4 linked regions of the Schizosaccharomyces pombe genome follow. The gene in region 4 interacts genetically with the main gene of each other region. Each region holds a gene or a part of one and is shown on either strand. Other genes may lie near its edges. The genes, in order: hac1, qcr8, otu2 and ppk15.

The links.
Region 1: mutations in ppk15 (region 4) and hac1 together harm fitness less than expected from each alone (positive genetic interaction), as found in Schizosaccharomyces pombe (one large-scale study listed by BioGRID).
Region 2: mutations in ppk15 (region 4) and qcr8 together harm fitness less than expected from each alone (positive genetic interaction), as found in Schizosaccharomyces pombe (one large-scale study listed by BioGRID).
Region 3: mutations in ppk15 (region 4) and otu2 together harm fitness less than expected from each alone (positive genetic interaction), as found in Schizosaccharomyces pombe (one large-scale study listed by BioGRID).

Annotation. Positions count from the first base shown.
Region 1 is NC_003423.3:1,206,728-1,211,391, reverse strand, and holds hac1 (2-hydroxyacyl-CoA lyase Hac1), read right to left. Parts: upstream 2,718-4,664; 5' UTR 2,428-2,717; coding exon 766-2,427; intron 715-765; coding exon 670-714; 3' UTR 536-669; downstream 1-535. Other genes in the region: npp1 (nucleotide pyrophosphatase), read left to right, coding at 1-497; SPOM_SPBC725.03 (pyridoxamine 5'-phosphate oxidase), read right to left, coding at 3,579-4,352.
Region 2 is NC_003424.3:4,765,459-4,768,512, reverse strand, and holds qcr8 (ubiquinol-cytochrome-c reductase complex subunit 7), read right to left. Parts: upstream 1,458-3,054; 5' UTR 1,404-1,457; coding exon 1,372-1,403; intron 1,183-1,371; coding exon 1,165-1,182; intron 1,120-1,164; coding exon 906-1,119; intron 803-905; coding exon 788-802; 3' UTR 607-787; downstream 1-606. Other genes in the region: exonuclease Rex3, read left to right, coding at 1-606; prohibitin Phb1, read left to right, coding at 1,699-2,547; ypa2 (serine/threonine-protein phosphatase 2A activator 2), read right to left, coding at 3,006-3,054.
Region 3 is NC_003424.3:4,969,362-4,972,873, reverse strand, and holds otu2 (OUT family ubiquitin-specific cysteine protease Otu2), read right to left. Parts: upstream 1,709-3,512; 5' UTR 1,686-1,708; coding exon 1,326-1,685; intron 1,280-1,325; coding exon 737-1,279; 3' UTR 568-736; downstream 1-567. Other genes in the region: SPOM_SPAC1952.04C (uncharacterized protein), read left to right, coding at 1-22, 212-448; tma23 (ribosome biogenesis protein), read right to left, coding at 2,229-2,630, 2,695-2,787, 2,869-2,982; gab1 (Pig-U family GPI transamidase subunit), read right to left, coding at 3,275-3,512. UniProt on the Schizosaccharomyces pombe protein: Hydrolase that can remove conjugated ubiquitin from proteins and may therefore play an important regulatory role at the level of protein turnover by preventing degradation.
Region 4 is NC_003424.3:2,583,473-2,587,982, reverse strand, and holds ppk15 (serine/threonine protein kinase Ppk15), read right to left. Parts: upstream 2,811-4,510; 5' UTR 2,229-2,810; coding exon 2,040-2,228; intron 1,993-2,039; coding exon 577-1,992; 3' UTR 509-576; downstream 1-508. Other genes in the region: tom6 (uncharacterized protein), read right to left, coding at 3,936-4,042, 4,081-4,120.

The sequences.
Region 1 (4,664 bases), on a different chromosome or scaffold from region 4:
TTAGAGGAGAATCTGATTTAGATGATGAGTACATTTACGAAAGTCTTGTTAATTATTCTCGCTCGTCATTACCTTCTGCTGAGAATTGGAATGTTTATTCAAAGAAAGATATACCTTCTCGATGGCATTACTCAAATAATGAAAGAATAGCTCCCGTTTGGATGATCCCGGATGTTGGATGGTCTCTTGTCTCGATGCTGGATCATTCACCGGAGTTGGAGTATGAGCCTTTGGGTGTACATGGTTATGACAATTTGTCTCCAGTGATGAGAGCACTTTTTATCGCTTCAGGATCTTCTTTTAAGAATTTTAAGGGAAAGAAGCTTGCACCGTTCCAGAACACCGAAATTTATGGCATTCTTTCGCATATATTAGATTTACCAGCTCAGCCTAATAATGGTACATATGAAGGTGCTTTACCTTTAAGAAGAAATCGTAATTCTACTAAGGAATGGTTGCTGAAGGACATAGAACAAGCATACTCTAAGCTTATTTAATTCTGCTGTTTTATCACTATCTTTATATTTTTTAATATTTTTAATTTCCTTTAGATTATATTTAATACTTTTTTTTAATAAACGACTTTATTTGAATAGCAACAATAACTGTATTCCGATTTTTAAGAATCGTAAAAGAACATCACTTCTTCTATTTTTAATTAAATGATGGTCATAACTTTGGTTTCACTTTGGTACTGCTCATCCATGCAAATGTCTAGTGATTGTTAGCTTGTTCTTATACCTAATTCATTCCATTAATACTTACCAATTTTCGAGCAGCCTCCGGGTCCACCATAACATTTATGAGAGATACAGATGAGGTTTGCCATGCTTTCCTGAGGGAACTTCTCAAATCTTCTTCATTCTTTACAAAGAAACCTTTACCACCACATGCTTCGCAAATTTGATCATAACGTATACTAGTGCCTAAGGCAGTAGTCGGTAATTGGTGATTATCACGTAAAGTTTCATAAGCATCAGTATCTAATCCATGGTAAACACCATTATTATTGATTACAATTACCAAAAGATCCAGCTGGTTGCGTATGGCGGTTTCCAGTTCCATGGCGCTAAAGCCAAAAGCACTATCACCCTCAACTACCACTATTTTGTCGGATGAATGGGCAAATGCGCTGGCAATAGCATATCCCATACCAACTCCCATTGTTGACATAGTGCCTGCATCCAGTCGACCACGTGGATGAGTTACTTCTAAAAGCTGACGGCCCCGGTCCATTGTATTGGCGCCTTCAGAAACCCAAGTGATATTACGCTTTGATTTGAGCGATAAGCTTTGTAGCTCCTCATTCACGACATACAAAGCATAATTCATTTGCAACGGTATACTGGACTTTCGAGATTCAAGAGCCTTTTTCTCATTCTTGGATCGGGTTTCATTTAACGTGCGAAGGTAAGGGGTCGAGATGCCAACACTGTACTTCCAAGTTTGAACGAGCTTAAAAAGACAATCTATTGTCAGACCTACATCAGCCCAAATTGCTAAATCCAAATCTGCAGCATTGTTTCCTAAAGTTTCAGCATTGGTATCAATTTGAATAAATTTGGCATTAGGAGACCACTTTGGTGGAAGACCATATTGAAATATCCAATTTAAACGTGCCCCTGCTAAGAGCACTACATCTGCATTACGAAGAGCAGCTGACCTTGCCGAAGACACATTTAAGGGATGCGATTCTGGTAACAAACCTTTGCCCATGGGACTCGGAAGAAACGGAATGCCAGTATGTTCAACAAATTCCAAGAGCTGTTTTTCAGCGCAGGCATATGCGGCACCTTTACCAACGACAAGCAGAGGTGCCTTTGCATTTTTTAAATAGTATGCAGCCTTCTGAAGCTGTGTTGGATCAGGTGCACATTTGGGAGAACTAGGAATTGGGGGTAGAGGGTCTTTAGGAAAGTCATCGACAGTAGATTCAATATAATTTGCTGGCAAGTCAACATAGCATGTTCCAGGAGTGCCGGTCATGGAGACACGATACGCTCTTCGAATGGAATCAACAACCATTTTGGGACTTGGGGGGCGCACGGCTAATTTCGTATGAGGTGATAAGTAAGAAACCTGGTCCAATTCTTGGAAGGCCCCACAGTTTTGCTGAAATGTTTCACTGGATCCAGCCAAAAGCAGCAAAGGCCATCGATTGGTTTTAGAATTGAAAACACCGGCCATGGCATGTACAACGCCAGGACCGCCTACCACGACACAGACCCCAGGGCGCTGAGTTAAATAGCCATAGGCAGTCGCTGCATAAGCTGCGCTTTGCTCATTGCGAAACCCGACAAACCGAATTCCACTTGCTTGGATAGCCTCACAAATTTCGATTACGGGAATGCCAACAATGCCAAAAACAACTTTAACCTCTAAGTCCAACAATGTCTTAGCTACCAATTCCGAAAAGCTTATAGACATTGTTATTACAAATTAATATGTACCTCTAAATTGAATAATATTGTTCACCAAACAAAAGCGATGAAAAGCTCAATGCAAAAGAAAGACAGAAGAAAACAAGAAAAGACTAAAGCAAAGTAAAGGTGGGTTTGGTTCCAGTAGCTAGCAATACCGTCCCTATTTCTCAATAAACTGACAAACTGAAGTGTATGTCACTCTGTAAACCAAGTGTTCTATACTTTAGAGAGAAAAAGAAGTTCTGATCTAGATGAGCTTAAATAACAGCAATGCTTAAAAAATGATGGATGAGCAATCCTGTATTTGAAATTGCTAATCCCTTATGTAACCGAGTACTAATAATCCAATGTATAAGCCAATTTGGTAAAATTCCTTAAAGTATTTAATGTATAGTAAGGAATACGTTAACAGGTTTTAAATTTGTATCGTTAATAAGTTAAGATCCACACATGTATTCAATAATGCCACTTAACTCAACGGGGACCTTTACGGTTCTATGAATACTGATTCGATAAAATTAAATGACTTGGCAATTCACCGTCCCTTCAAATAAGACATTGTGTTTCTTATGTGGTGCTTTATTCCCTTTTTTTTGCTACATTTCTACCTGCGTAAGACAATATAAGATAATAAAACAAGCCATATAGTAATAACCTTAATATAATATTATACAGGTAAGATCTTTTAATAAATGATCATCATTAGCAGGTAGGTTGGCCTATTTGCTTAATCTCGCAACAATTTTTTACAATGTCTTCCTGTAAGTACTTTAATACACACAATTTTCATAATTTTTTATTTATTATAAACGTAAATAGTTCATCAAGTGGCCGGATTGGAAATTTGACATAGGATAAGTGATAATTTAGTTGTTTAACAACGTAAATAAACATTAGAAAATTCGGAATACACTGAGTTTGTAGTTTGTACTCAGTATTATGCTTCAGTACTAAAAAAAAATTCAACTACAAAACCCACCGAATTGTAAGCTAGGCAAATTTGAGGGAATCAGACCTTTTTCATATACTCCACAAAAAAAAAGAACCAAAATGTTAGGAGTAATCATTATAAGTTAATATTCGTAGTTCATAAGTATTGCACGTTTATCAAGAGCAATCAATTCATAAAGGATGTGCGAAAAAAAAGGAAAACATTTAGACATTGACACGAGTGGAGGACCATTGTTTCGTGTTTAGATCTCTATTGTGCAAAACGCGCTTTCCTGGAGGAGGGGTAAGATTCAAAAACTCGACTTCGTTAGCCTCACAAACAACAAGAGAAAATCTACCCCAAGCAGTCTTCCAAGCTTCAATAACCCCGGGATCTTCTTTTCCAGTGAGGGTAGAAGGTAAAGGTGACACCTTCACATCGCCTTGGTATTTGGAGTATGAAGGAGGAGTAGAAAAGGAAGCGCGAAGTTCAGGACTATGTAACTCCCAAATACGTCTTCTTTCCTCTTCCCAAGACCATTCTTCGGGAATGCGGCCATTGCTGTTTATTAAATGATCCTGGATCAACTTGTCTGCGGGAAATTCATTTCGGTCGGCAAGTTCTGGTGTGTATAACCAAATTTGACCGGAAATACGAATTTGCTGCATTGTCTTTGGTAACCATCCACACATTTCAAATGCGTTCGGTATGGGTCCAGAGGGGAATGTATTTTTTTGCTGCTCAGCAATCTCAGCAGCTTTGTGAGAAGCAATATCCGTAGAGAATACCAATAAATCTGTAGCTAGCACATCATCGGGACGTGGTTTATGCCATCCTGTACCGACAAATCCTCGAATAGCTACAGTACGATTTCTGGGGTAAATTTCATTACCAGTGGGTAAAGTTGCCAGCTGGAAGTATTCGGGATGAATAACTCCACTGGAGTCGACATTTTCTTTTAAAAGCTTCAATAACTCATTTTTCCAAGCGAGGGACATGTTGGCAAACGATGAAATGGGATGCACGTATGAATCCTATATAAGTCACTTGTTTGACTGAAACGTCATTGACTTTGCTAAGTGTGTCGTACTAAAGGTCGCTCGCTATACAGAAATGATCTCTAGATATCTGTATAAGGCACAACTCTAAAGTTCGGCTAAACTTACTAACGAAATCGTGTGTGATTTCTGAAAAAGCAAATTGTACGTTATCGTGGATTACACTAATTTTTTAAAATATTCCTCTCTTCATCTGCTCAAGAGAATTGGTAAATAGTAAGAGTAAAATCATTTAATATTAGTGCACAGAGA
Region 2 (3,054 bases), 2.2 Mb from region 4:
GAGGGCGATTCGTCTGGTTGTATTATAGAAGACAACCATGTGTTCAAATACCGACATCTTCCGTATCTTGCTAGCGTTCATCCATTTTCCTACTTACCAGACAGTACAAATAGCAAGCAATTAAGTCATTGCGCGTTAGATTGTGAACTATGCTACACTACGAACGGGATGGAATTGGCTCGTTTGACGGTGGTAGCAAAGGAAAGCATTATTATGGATGTGTTTATAAAGCCTAAAGGCAAAATTTTGAGTCTCAATACTCGATTTAGCGGGATACATGATGCCAAAGAATTAGAATCAGGAATTACCATGGATCAAATGTATATTAAAATAAAGGAACTTGGCATGAATAAAAATACAATTTTAATAGGACATGGTTTAGAAAACGATTTGAATGCGATGAGGCTTATTCACAAACGTGTCATAGATACTGCTCTTCTATTTACGCATGCCAGAGGCCCGCCGTTTAGATATTCCTTAAAATATTTGACTAAAAAATATCTGGGAACAACAATACAAACTTCTACACACGATAGCGAAGAAGACGCTGTTTCAGCATTACAACTTGTCTTTTATAAGACAAAATCAAATGAAAGTCAAAACTAAGAGTAATAATGTTTTCAAATTCAAGAGATAGATCATATCACAAAGTAATTTTGTTGGATATATAGATTTCTGATACTAAGCATAATGAGAGGAGAGAGATAGTAATTGTAAACCCAATAAGGAAAGGGTAGGGAAGAATTTTGTAAATCCTTCTACCAAAATGAATACTTCATTCTCATCATTATTCCTCCACCAACTAAACCACATATTAGTAAAATGACAATTATTGACACAATTTAGAAGTATAGAAAAATGCTGCAAACCATAGCTGCTTATCGATTCTTCAGTCATTAACTTACGTGTCTTCCATGTTTGGAATTGAGGAATTCATTACGCTCCTTCCCCCAACAGTAAATATAGTAAGCTATTCCAAACGGAATTGCTACGTATAGACCTTCAGTCATGACGCGACGAAACATATTTTGCGTAGAAGTTTTGAAGAAGCCGGCCATTGGTCTCTGTTGAAATGGGGAAAGGGAATATGTTATGATTCCTTTTTGTTTAGGTCCACCTCTTATTAAAGTAAGTAAAAATGTATCAAATTGTTATAGCACTTACAGATGGCCCCACCATCCTCTATTCATGTGTTAGTATAAATAAAAACGTTCAATGATATTCTCAGCAGCTATTTGAATGTATATAACTTCGCTGACGAAAATGGCTTTACGAAATAAACACCAATTGTGTCCACCGTCTCACGCTATAAGCGTCAAAGAAAAGTCATATAACCCATTATAAACAGAAACTGCTTTAAGTTGCACTTACAAATAAGTTTTTCCTCCAGCAGCACCACCCATTTTGTTAAAACAATAATATATTGATGATTGCCGTTACAAAGTCAGATGTTTGTTAAGGGTAAGTGTGCGGGTCTGCTAGACCAATAATAATTCAGACGTTTACAAATTCTTGGTTTTTTATTCAAGATTTTTATTTAGTTTTACTATTAAAATTCTAAATAATAAGATCATGTATTTATTAATCATGAATATAGATTTTCCTAGAGGTTGCAGTTAAGTCATACTTAGTCTTGCTCAAACGGACTTCCCTTTCAGTTTGGTCTTTTAGTCCAGCGCTCAACGTACTATTAAAGAGATGGCTGTAGTACTGGAGAGAGTTGCACGTTATGCAATACCAATAGGTATTGGATTTACTCTATTACAATCTTCGATTTACGATGTACCGGGGGGAAAAAGAGCAGTTTTGTTTGACCGTCTGTCGGGTGTGCAGAAACAGGTTGTTCAGGAGGGCACACACTTTTTGATTCCATGGTTACAAAAGGCAATTGTTTATGATGTACGCACACGTCCACGAAATATCGCAACTACTACGGGTAGTAAAGATTTACAGATGGTTTCTTTAACATTGCGTGTATTACACCGTCCCGAAGTTGGAATGCTTCCTCAAATTTACCAAAATTTAGGCTTAGATTATGATGAGCGTGTCTTACCTTCTATTGGAAACGAAATTTTAAAATCCGTAGTTGCTCAGTTTGATGCAGCAGAGCTCATTACTCAAAGAGAAGTAGTTTCTGCCAAAATTCGCCAAGAACTAGTTCAACGAGCTACCGAATTTGGAATTCGGTTGGAAGATGTATCCATTACTCATATGACTTTTGGAAAAGAATTTACGAAAGCCGTAGAGAGAAAACAAATTGCTCAACAAGAAGCCGAGCGTGCTAGATTTTTAGTAGAACAATCCGAACAAGAGCGACAAGCTAATGTTATTCGCGCTGAGGGTGAAGCAGAAGCGGCTGATATTGTTTCCAAAGCACTTGATAAAGCCGGTGGCGCTTTAATCCAAATTCGTCGTCTCGAGACAAGTAAAGAGGTGGCTACTGCACTTGCTAATAAAGGTGCACAGGTCACTTATCTTCCCTTTGGAGCTGGTTCTAATGCCCAAAGTTCCAGTGGTTCTGGGTTGCTTCTTAATGTAAATCCTTAATTCATTCCATGTATCTGCTTCTAGCAGCAAATTCATAAGGTTTATTCGAGCTCCCCTAAACATATCAGCTTTATCTTATTATCCCTTTAAAATTAAAGAGATGTTATATAAAAGTTGTACTTTTCCACGCATTATGATTTTGACAAATTTGGGTTCTTAACGAAAATAAATATTTCCAAATTTTTTTATTTCAGAACTCAAAATTATGATTTGTCACCTTATTTTTAAAACGACAATTATTTTGGGTTTTGTGCTGATGAAATGGCTATATTAATGCTGCTAAAATTAGGGTTGATTGTTTATGTAGAGTTTTTTTAGCATAATGAAATAAACAAATATGCTGTACTGTTGGTAATTTTATTGACTTTAGATATTACTTTTAAAGTAAACAGACAAATATGGGTATCGCATAAATTCGTGAAGATTCGTTAAAAACGCCTTTTTTCCCTCGAGAATTTTTAATCAAACGGAATCCTACTTCCATTATTTTTGGCAGCAGAGATCGCA
Region 3 (3,512 bases), 2.4 Mb from region 4:
TCTCCCGGTTTATACGAGTAAGGTAAGGGAATTCAAGAAAGCATATGTTATGTAGTTGACCCTTTCTACTTATCATTGTTTGGAAACCTGACAGACCTTGTTTGTTATTTTCTAAGCCATTCTTCAATCTTCAATGTTACATGCTTTCCAGGGAAAGTTGGGATTATTTTGCTGTCCAACTAATAAGCACTCACTTGCTAACTCAGAGCAGGTACTTCGTTGTTCTCATTGTGGGTGGTATGAACCAGTAGATTCGGCCATGATTGATCAAAGGCGCAGGCGTGAAGATCTTCCTACTCCCGAAAGACCTGAGGCGAGTGCTCAACAGCATGCATTTTTTCCTGGCTCAAGTTCGCAACAAACCGATATTCCTAACGTTCGTCCTCAACCACATATACCGCCTCCAAGAAAAAGTGATGAGGCACCACCCCCTTACAGCTACAAGTAATGTTCTACCTTAATTCTATTTATTGTTCTACCGTTTCTAATGCTTCCCTGATGAAGCTTTCTAAGCATGTTTGGTAATATTTATTGTGCATACTATATGACTGGATATGATAGATAATAATGGCTAATTTTTTTTTTTGATTAATAGAATACAGAAGAGTTTTAATTCATAAATATTATTCATATAATCTAACTCGTAAGGCACAGCCTTTTTAAATGGTTTCCGGCGAGGAAGGAAGCTAATAAACCAAAGGATAAAAACCTATCTAAAGCATCTCATTAGATCTTTTTAATTGTCCCGATATAATAAACTATTATAGTGAGCGCCAAGCCCAAACAAATGCTGGTAATATGCTATACACAACGGTTTTTCGAACTTGACCGTTGAGGGGTTAAACTTTAAAACTGGACCTTCTGTGTTGTAGACATGAACAGGAACCTCAAGAGAGTTTGCTAATGCCTGTATTTCAATATCACTTCCCCATTTGCTATTGTTTCGAATTTCGTTACAATAATCGGATACTGGCAAAACTTCTCCAGATTCTTCGTCTAGCAAAAAGCCTTCAAACTGTTCGCAGTGCTTTAATACATAATCAGCGGATTTATTACGAAGAGCTTGGCTATTTAGTTTAACATTATGATGATAATTTAACTGATGTGAAATGGAAGCAAATAAACAATTTCCATCCGCTGGTATATCGACTGCAACAAGTCCAGCTTCCTCAAGGATTTTTGAAAACTTTTTTTTCTCTTCATTTTTGAGATCAGCCATTTTTTCTGACTCTAGCTCTGCCTGCTCAGACATTTTTTTCATCTCTGCTTTACGTCGTTCCTAATTAACTTTGTTAGTGATAATTCGTCAAAAGTTAAGCACTTACAAGTCGCTCTTTTTGTCTATTCCTAGACTTTTTAGGCTGTTGCGGTGTATTTTCTTTAGTATTCAATGAGGACTGAACTGATGATTTTTCTGCCGTCGTAATTTTCGTATCTTCCATCTGTTGTAAAAGCGTATTGAGGAGATCTTCTTGCTGCGTTTCATTTGTCTCTTCATCGCCTTTATCCAATTTTTGTCGTTCTGTAGCATGTTTTTGTGATAAATCGGCTTCCATTTGTGAGATTTTTTGCTGCAAAGCCCTTTTTTGTTTTTTATTTCCTTCCTTTAGTTGTTTACGAAGGTTTGTAATTTTGCTTTGAAGTTCTTTACATTCTTCCCGTTGCTTACTTAACAATTCCTCCATTTTTTTAGACTTTCGTTTTTGTTGAGTTGGTATGGTAGTTTGAGTGTAATAATATGCTAATGGACATCTCATTCGATGCTTCCAATTTAATTCATTTAGACATTATATTTACATAGTATAATATTCCCTTTCCATGCATAGCCTTTTATTCATTTTGTAAACATTCAATCATCCAATGCAGAGTTTTATAATAAAATATATATTCTTTACTAGGATCCTATTAAACATCATTTAATTTGTAAAACAATTCAATTCTAATAATTTATTAATTATTTATATACAATTAGACTCCTGTTTCCAAATACCAAATTCTTTGATACCCATATAATACACCCCGTCGTTCAACAAATGTATGCCCGCTGATAAACGAAATGAAACTACAAGAAAAACAAATAAAAAGCTTTAAATAAAGTGTGTTTTTGAAACTTCAAAGAATTAGAAAACTTGCTGTTTGGATGTTCGAAGACTTCTGGACGAATCGTAAAATAAAGAATTCCAATTCTTGTTCATATTTAAAGCTAGGCAAACGATTTTTCTTTCCTTTTAAGCCTTTACCTTTTTAGTACCCGAAACCTTCTTAAGTCCACTTTTAGACGATTTTTTTGATTCTTTGTCACGAACCTTTCTTTTTCGTTTTTGAGTATGAGAATCATCTAATTTTAATCTCTTGGATTTTTTTTTCAACTTGTCCTTCTTCTCCTTCTTTTCTTTTTTCTTTTTGGACTTCTCTCGTTTTGAAGACTCTTTGCCAGAAGTTTTTCTGACTTTGACTTTCTTGGACGATACTGGAGAAACAGAGGAATCAAGACTCTTATCAACTAAATCTTCCTCAAAGGTACCACAAAGTCGACCAGCATAACGAAACACAGAAGACAGAGCAGAATATTTGCTGTGATATTTTGCCATTCTCAATTTTGTAGATACACCATTGCTTTGGACTGCAACCTTTTCCAAATGTTAGCACTGTGTAAAAGAGATAGGAAAAATTGTATATTTAAGTTGTTTTTACCTTTCCGTTGTCCGTATTTACTTGAATTGACTGTAGTTGAGCAGAAAAAACATTATCCCACCATTGATCAGCAATATCATGTTTAGCACCAAGCTACCGTGTGTTAAAAATAAATTCATACATAACTTTACTGAAAAAACCCATCTTTTTCTAAGATTTTTTATTCTGACATACCCCATGAGTATTATATTTTCTAGAAGTTAAAATTGGTTTGGTGAGCCCTCCTTCTTTTAAAGCGTTTCCTTCCTCCCAACCAAAGGAATTCAAATATCTTTTGGAACTAAACATCAATGGCTGATGAAGTTTTGCATAAAACTTTTCATGGGTACTTCGTGGTAAAGGGAGTAGTGCCATGGGATGCCATGAATACCTAATATGAAAAAAAATAAAAAAAGTCCTTGAATCGTCTCGGAAAAGGAAAAAAATATGAAATATAAATTTCCTATTTGTATGTATGAATAAATAATTTCTAAACGTTAAATTGGAAAAGGTCGTTTCGTAAGGTCAGAAAGGTGAGGCTCTAATGATGAAATTGGATAGATGAAGCCTAAGAATATCATTTTCTAATTAACAGATTACTTTATTGAACCTGTTTTAATGGAATATTTTCATGCTGTGGGTGATTGGCATACCAATCAACCAAAAGCAGTGCCTTGAGAAAGTCCATGATTTTTAAAGAGAGTCCAAGAGCAAGAATGAGGTTACTTGCGTAATAAAAATTTGCATTTCCACATCCAAGAGTTATCCAAGAATGGTAAAATGCAGATCCCAGTACAAGCGCAAACACAATAGCATTATTTGTAAGCAAGCTATATCGC
Region 4 (4,510 bases):
AACAATGTATCAAACGGAATCTCAGCTAACTCTTCAAATTTGTGAGTAAATATTAATTAAGAAAATAAAAGAATTTTTAACATACGACTTTTAGCTGTTTTTGATTCGTTGTTTGAGTCTTCATCGTCTTCTGAATCTTCATTATTAAAGTTTTCAAATTCTTCTTCTGAGACCAATTCTTCGTCGCTATCTAGATCATCTTCGTAAACACCCGCATTAGCAAGAGTCCCATTTTCAAGTGAACTTGATTTCATTTTGGCGATTTGTGAATGTCTACTACATAAAAGTATAAAACCTCTCTACATAGAGTATTTACCGTAGCGCTAAATATAGCGTTAAATTTGTAAATGCTTTATACTATTTACTATTGAAAACTGCATATTGAAGCCTCGAAGGAACTTTGAAAATATTCGTAGTATGTATATATCATCAAAAGTTTGAATGCTTTATGAAAATTGAAAACGTTTTACGAAAGCTATTAGAAAATTGGTACAACATAAAAAAAAAATTTGGAATGGATCATGCCTATTAAATATTTTAAATAAATTTGAATGTTTCTATACGTAAAATATGACATTAGAAAAATTCATCTACATTTTCGTTCTCATTAGCGGGAGGATAATATTGAGGCAGCGGTCGAGTATGTACAAATTCTTCAGGTTCGTTGGAAACATAAGTGCTTGCACGCTGTAAGGAAGGAGGAACCACCGCTTGATTTCCAATAGTATGAGAACGGTTCCTCGTTCTTTGAGTTGTAAGCAGTGGTTTTTGTTTGTCAATGCAGTATTGACTGAAAGAGGCACCTGTGATAAAAGGATGATTTTTCGCCTGGTCAGGAGTCCATCTCTTCAAAGGATTTAACTCTAAAAACTGCTTTATGAAATCGATGAAACAAAGTCTCTCTTCATGTTCTTCAGGAGTAAGCTTAGGTGTGGTTTTTCGGCGAGGATAATTTAAAACAATAGCATCGAGTGTCTTTTCACCAAAATATTGTTTTCCAGGTTGCTCTGTTTTGTTGTTTTCGATAGAAAACTGTTCGATCGATTTAAGCTCATAAGTTTTTCTACCGTTTACAAAACCAGAATTGTAATATTTCTTCGAATTTTTACCCATTTCTAACATCCAAGTGGGAGGATTACCAAGCATGTCAACAATCCGACATAATTGATTATATTCGGAATTTCCAGGGAACAAGGGAAGACCTAAGAATAGTTCAGCTAAAATGCATCCCAAAGACCACATATCAATTCCACAGTTATAATGTAGTCCTAAAATTACTTCCGGACTGCGATAGAATCGCGATTGAATATAGGTATAAACTGTTTGGCGTTCGTGACAAGCACTACCAAAATCTATCACTTTCACAATCGGTGATGATAAATCCTGCAACAGGATATTTTCCGGCTTTAGATCACAATGTATGATTCGAGCTTGTTTGAGGAGAGATGTGCACGATAGAAGTTGCGTTGCGAAAGAACGAACAAGACTTAAATGTAAACCACGGAACTGATTTTGCTTGATAAGCTCATAAAGATTAATACTGAGTAACTCAAAAACGAGACACAAATGATTTTTATGCATAAATTGATCATATAAACGAATTAAATGGCGCTTGTCTTCTGGATCGTACTTATTGTTAAGGAGCTCTAGTATAGAAACCTCCATCACACATTGGTTATAAAATGCCGGCTTATTTTTGATAACTTTAATAGCTACAATTTGTTGGGTTTTAAGATCTTGGCATCTAGCAACTTGACCAAATGTGCCATGCCCCAGGGTGTCGAGAATCAAATATTTACGGCCTTCATCCGTTCCTAGCAAATCGTTAACATACAATACATAATCATGATTGACGTTATCAAAACCATGGTTGTGAACTCCTTCACTGGGTTTGGTGAGTGGTCTCCGAGGGTTTTGTTCGGAAGAAAACTGGAATTTTGGATTACAAATTGAATATGTATCAGCTAGTTTCACAGTCATTGCTTCTAAGGGCTATATGTTTAATTAGTAAAATGCAGAGCAAGTAAAAAATTTCGTACGCTAATATAGCTTCCATGGGGAGACACCCTTCTGTAATTGTATTTCTTGGTTGCCGGTTTGACAGGAGCAAACAAAGTTGTTCCAGAAGACGAGACATGACGAGCATGATTATTACGCTGCGAGTGATCATGAGTCCTCGCAGCAGGAGGATTGTTCGATAATGGAAGAATGGGCGAATCCGAATCCATATGAATAGAGACGCCTTTTTGTAAAGTATTGCAAAGAATATATCAGTATAGGCAGAATACGAGTGCCTTCATTCACACTCGAATCACTTTAAAGTAACGTAAAATAGTGATCTCTTGGAACGTGAGTCGATGCACAACAGTGCAAAAAGGAACCACAAGTTATACTATTTACAAAGTAGTAGTTGACAGATTAACCAAAGGAATCTAAAAAAGAAGTGCTTTAAAGGAAAAAAGTCAAAGAGTTTGAAATGAACGCACCAACCGGCTAATCAATTTAATGGAACAACTGACAAAGAGCTAGTTTCGCTTACGATAATCTCGATCTGGAACAAAGGGAAACACTTGTGGATATGAAGCTTAAAATATGAATTTGGAGGAATCTTCTAATTTTCTTGTTTATAGCGTGTAGCTACAAATACAAATATAATATTCGGCAGAAAATCGAAAATATTCACTAAAATAAGCCGATAAATATGCACAGTGCGAGTTGAACGAATAACTAATCAACTCCACCGTATAAATTACAAATTTATACGAAAAACAACACTGAGAGATTTCGCAATTTATTGAAAGATGAAGGATTTAACCAAAAAAAGCGGCTTGGTTAAAGGATAGAGAGGAATCTGAAGGAAAGGGATGACGACACACCGCTTTGTAGTGAGCCGCGTGTAACGGCGCTGACGATGACTGAAATAAAGTACAATTGCTTGCTATGCCTTAATCAGTTTTACTGATTTTCAATCTATTACGTAATAGAGTGTATCAATGAATTAAAAGGCCGTCATTAAAACTTTGGCTTGCAAAAAAATACAAGAAAAAGTTACTAGAAGAGGATCTTTTGATTCTTATATTATTAAATAGTTGGATCTTAGATCCCAATTAAATAATTAAATATTGTTTCAGGTTTCCGTGACATGACTTAAGAAGGCGATAATTTCGCTTACATTAAGGTTCCTGCTCTTACTCTCCACAACGAAATCAATTCGTATTTGAAAAGACGAATGAATTTGGTGCAAAACATCCGTCTATACCAATAACCGCGATAAATAAGAAACAACTTCCATTGAAAGGCTTATTCGAAACATCAAGCGCAATGTTTACCAATAGTACGCATCCTTAATTCAGAATAGTAGCAATTTTTCGAAAAAACGGATATTCTCCATACTTAGTATATTTGGATGTTGCACAACCATGTAACCGGTTGGATATTAAAAGGAGGAAAAACGTTTCTTGTTTGGCATCTATCTGTAAATGAAGGAGTCGTTGTTAAAACATTCTCCACGCCGACTACATTCGTACATAAAAATTTTCGCATAAACGACAAACGAAATGGTTCCTAGTCCAATGTTCACACAAAAATCTGTAGTGAATGGACGAATATTGGTTATTGACTTCAAACATCTAAGGAAACATAAATAGACGCAAGATATCAGAATCGAACTAGCTTATATGTAAAAATGTTCCTACCAACTAATGCTCCTACGTACTTCGCATGACACTAGATAACATAAATATTTCAAATTTTAGATCGCTAACAAAAATTACAAAGCACAATGATATTCATGAAAGATATATGTTGTTTAGCTTTGAACCTTTATTGAAACTGGGAGTTCATTTTATTTATGAAACAACCATACAACGTTATGAAGTAATATTTTTCTGAATCCAAAGCTGAAGACGTTTAGTCCGTGAAATTCAAACATCCATTTACAATTGTGGTACCAAAAAGTTTCCCAGTCTGGATTTCAAGATGGCTACAGAAACTGCAAATACGCCAAGACTCACGAAAATGGAAGAGTTTTCCTTATTGACGACTAAAAGATGTTAAATTAATAGTTTTACAGGGACATACCCTTTTTGAAAATATCTTTTTGAGCAGAAATGCGATCCATTTTTGACTAAGTGGTTGAAGGAACGTGGCTAAATACCGACTTGTAACGTAATTTAACATGACTGTGATCGCTGCCATAAACAGTGATCAGGTAAAATGTATGGCTTCAATAACCCTAATTGATAACCCTAAGAGCTAGCTGTATGGATTTTGTTTTGCAGTAGAGGAAACATTCTATACTGCAATAGTTTTTTAAGACAAAACGCTTTATATTTAGTTTACTTGGTCTTACGAAATAATCAAGAGTAGCGCTGCGGAAACAAATTTTTTCCTTTAAAATTTTCCATAATCATTATCTTTTTTAGTATTTTTTCATTTTTTTTTCGGGGGAGGGGTTAGAATAATTTAATTCATTTTCTTAACAAATGTACATCTCAAGAGCATCAATATT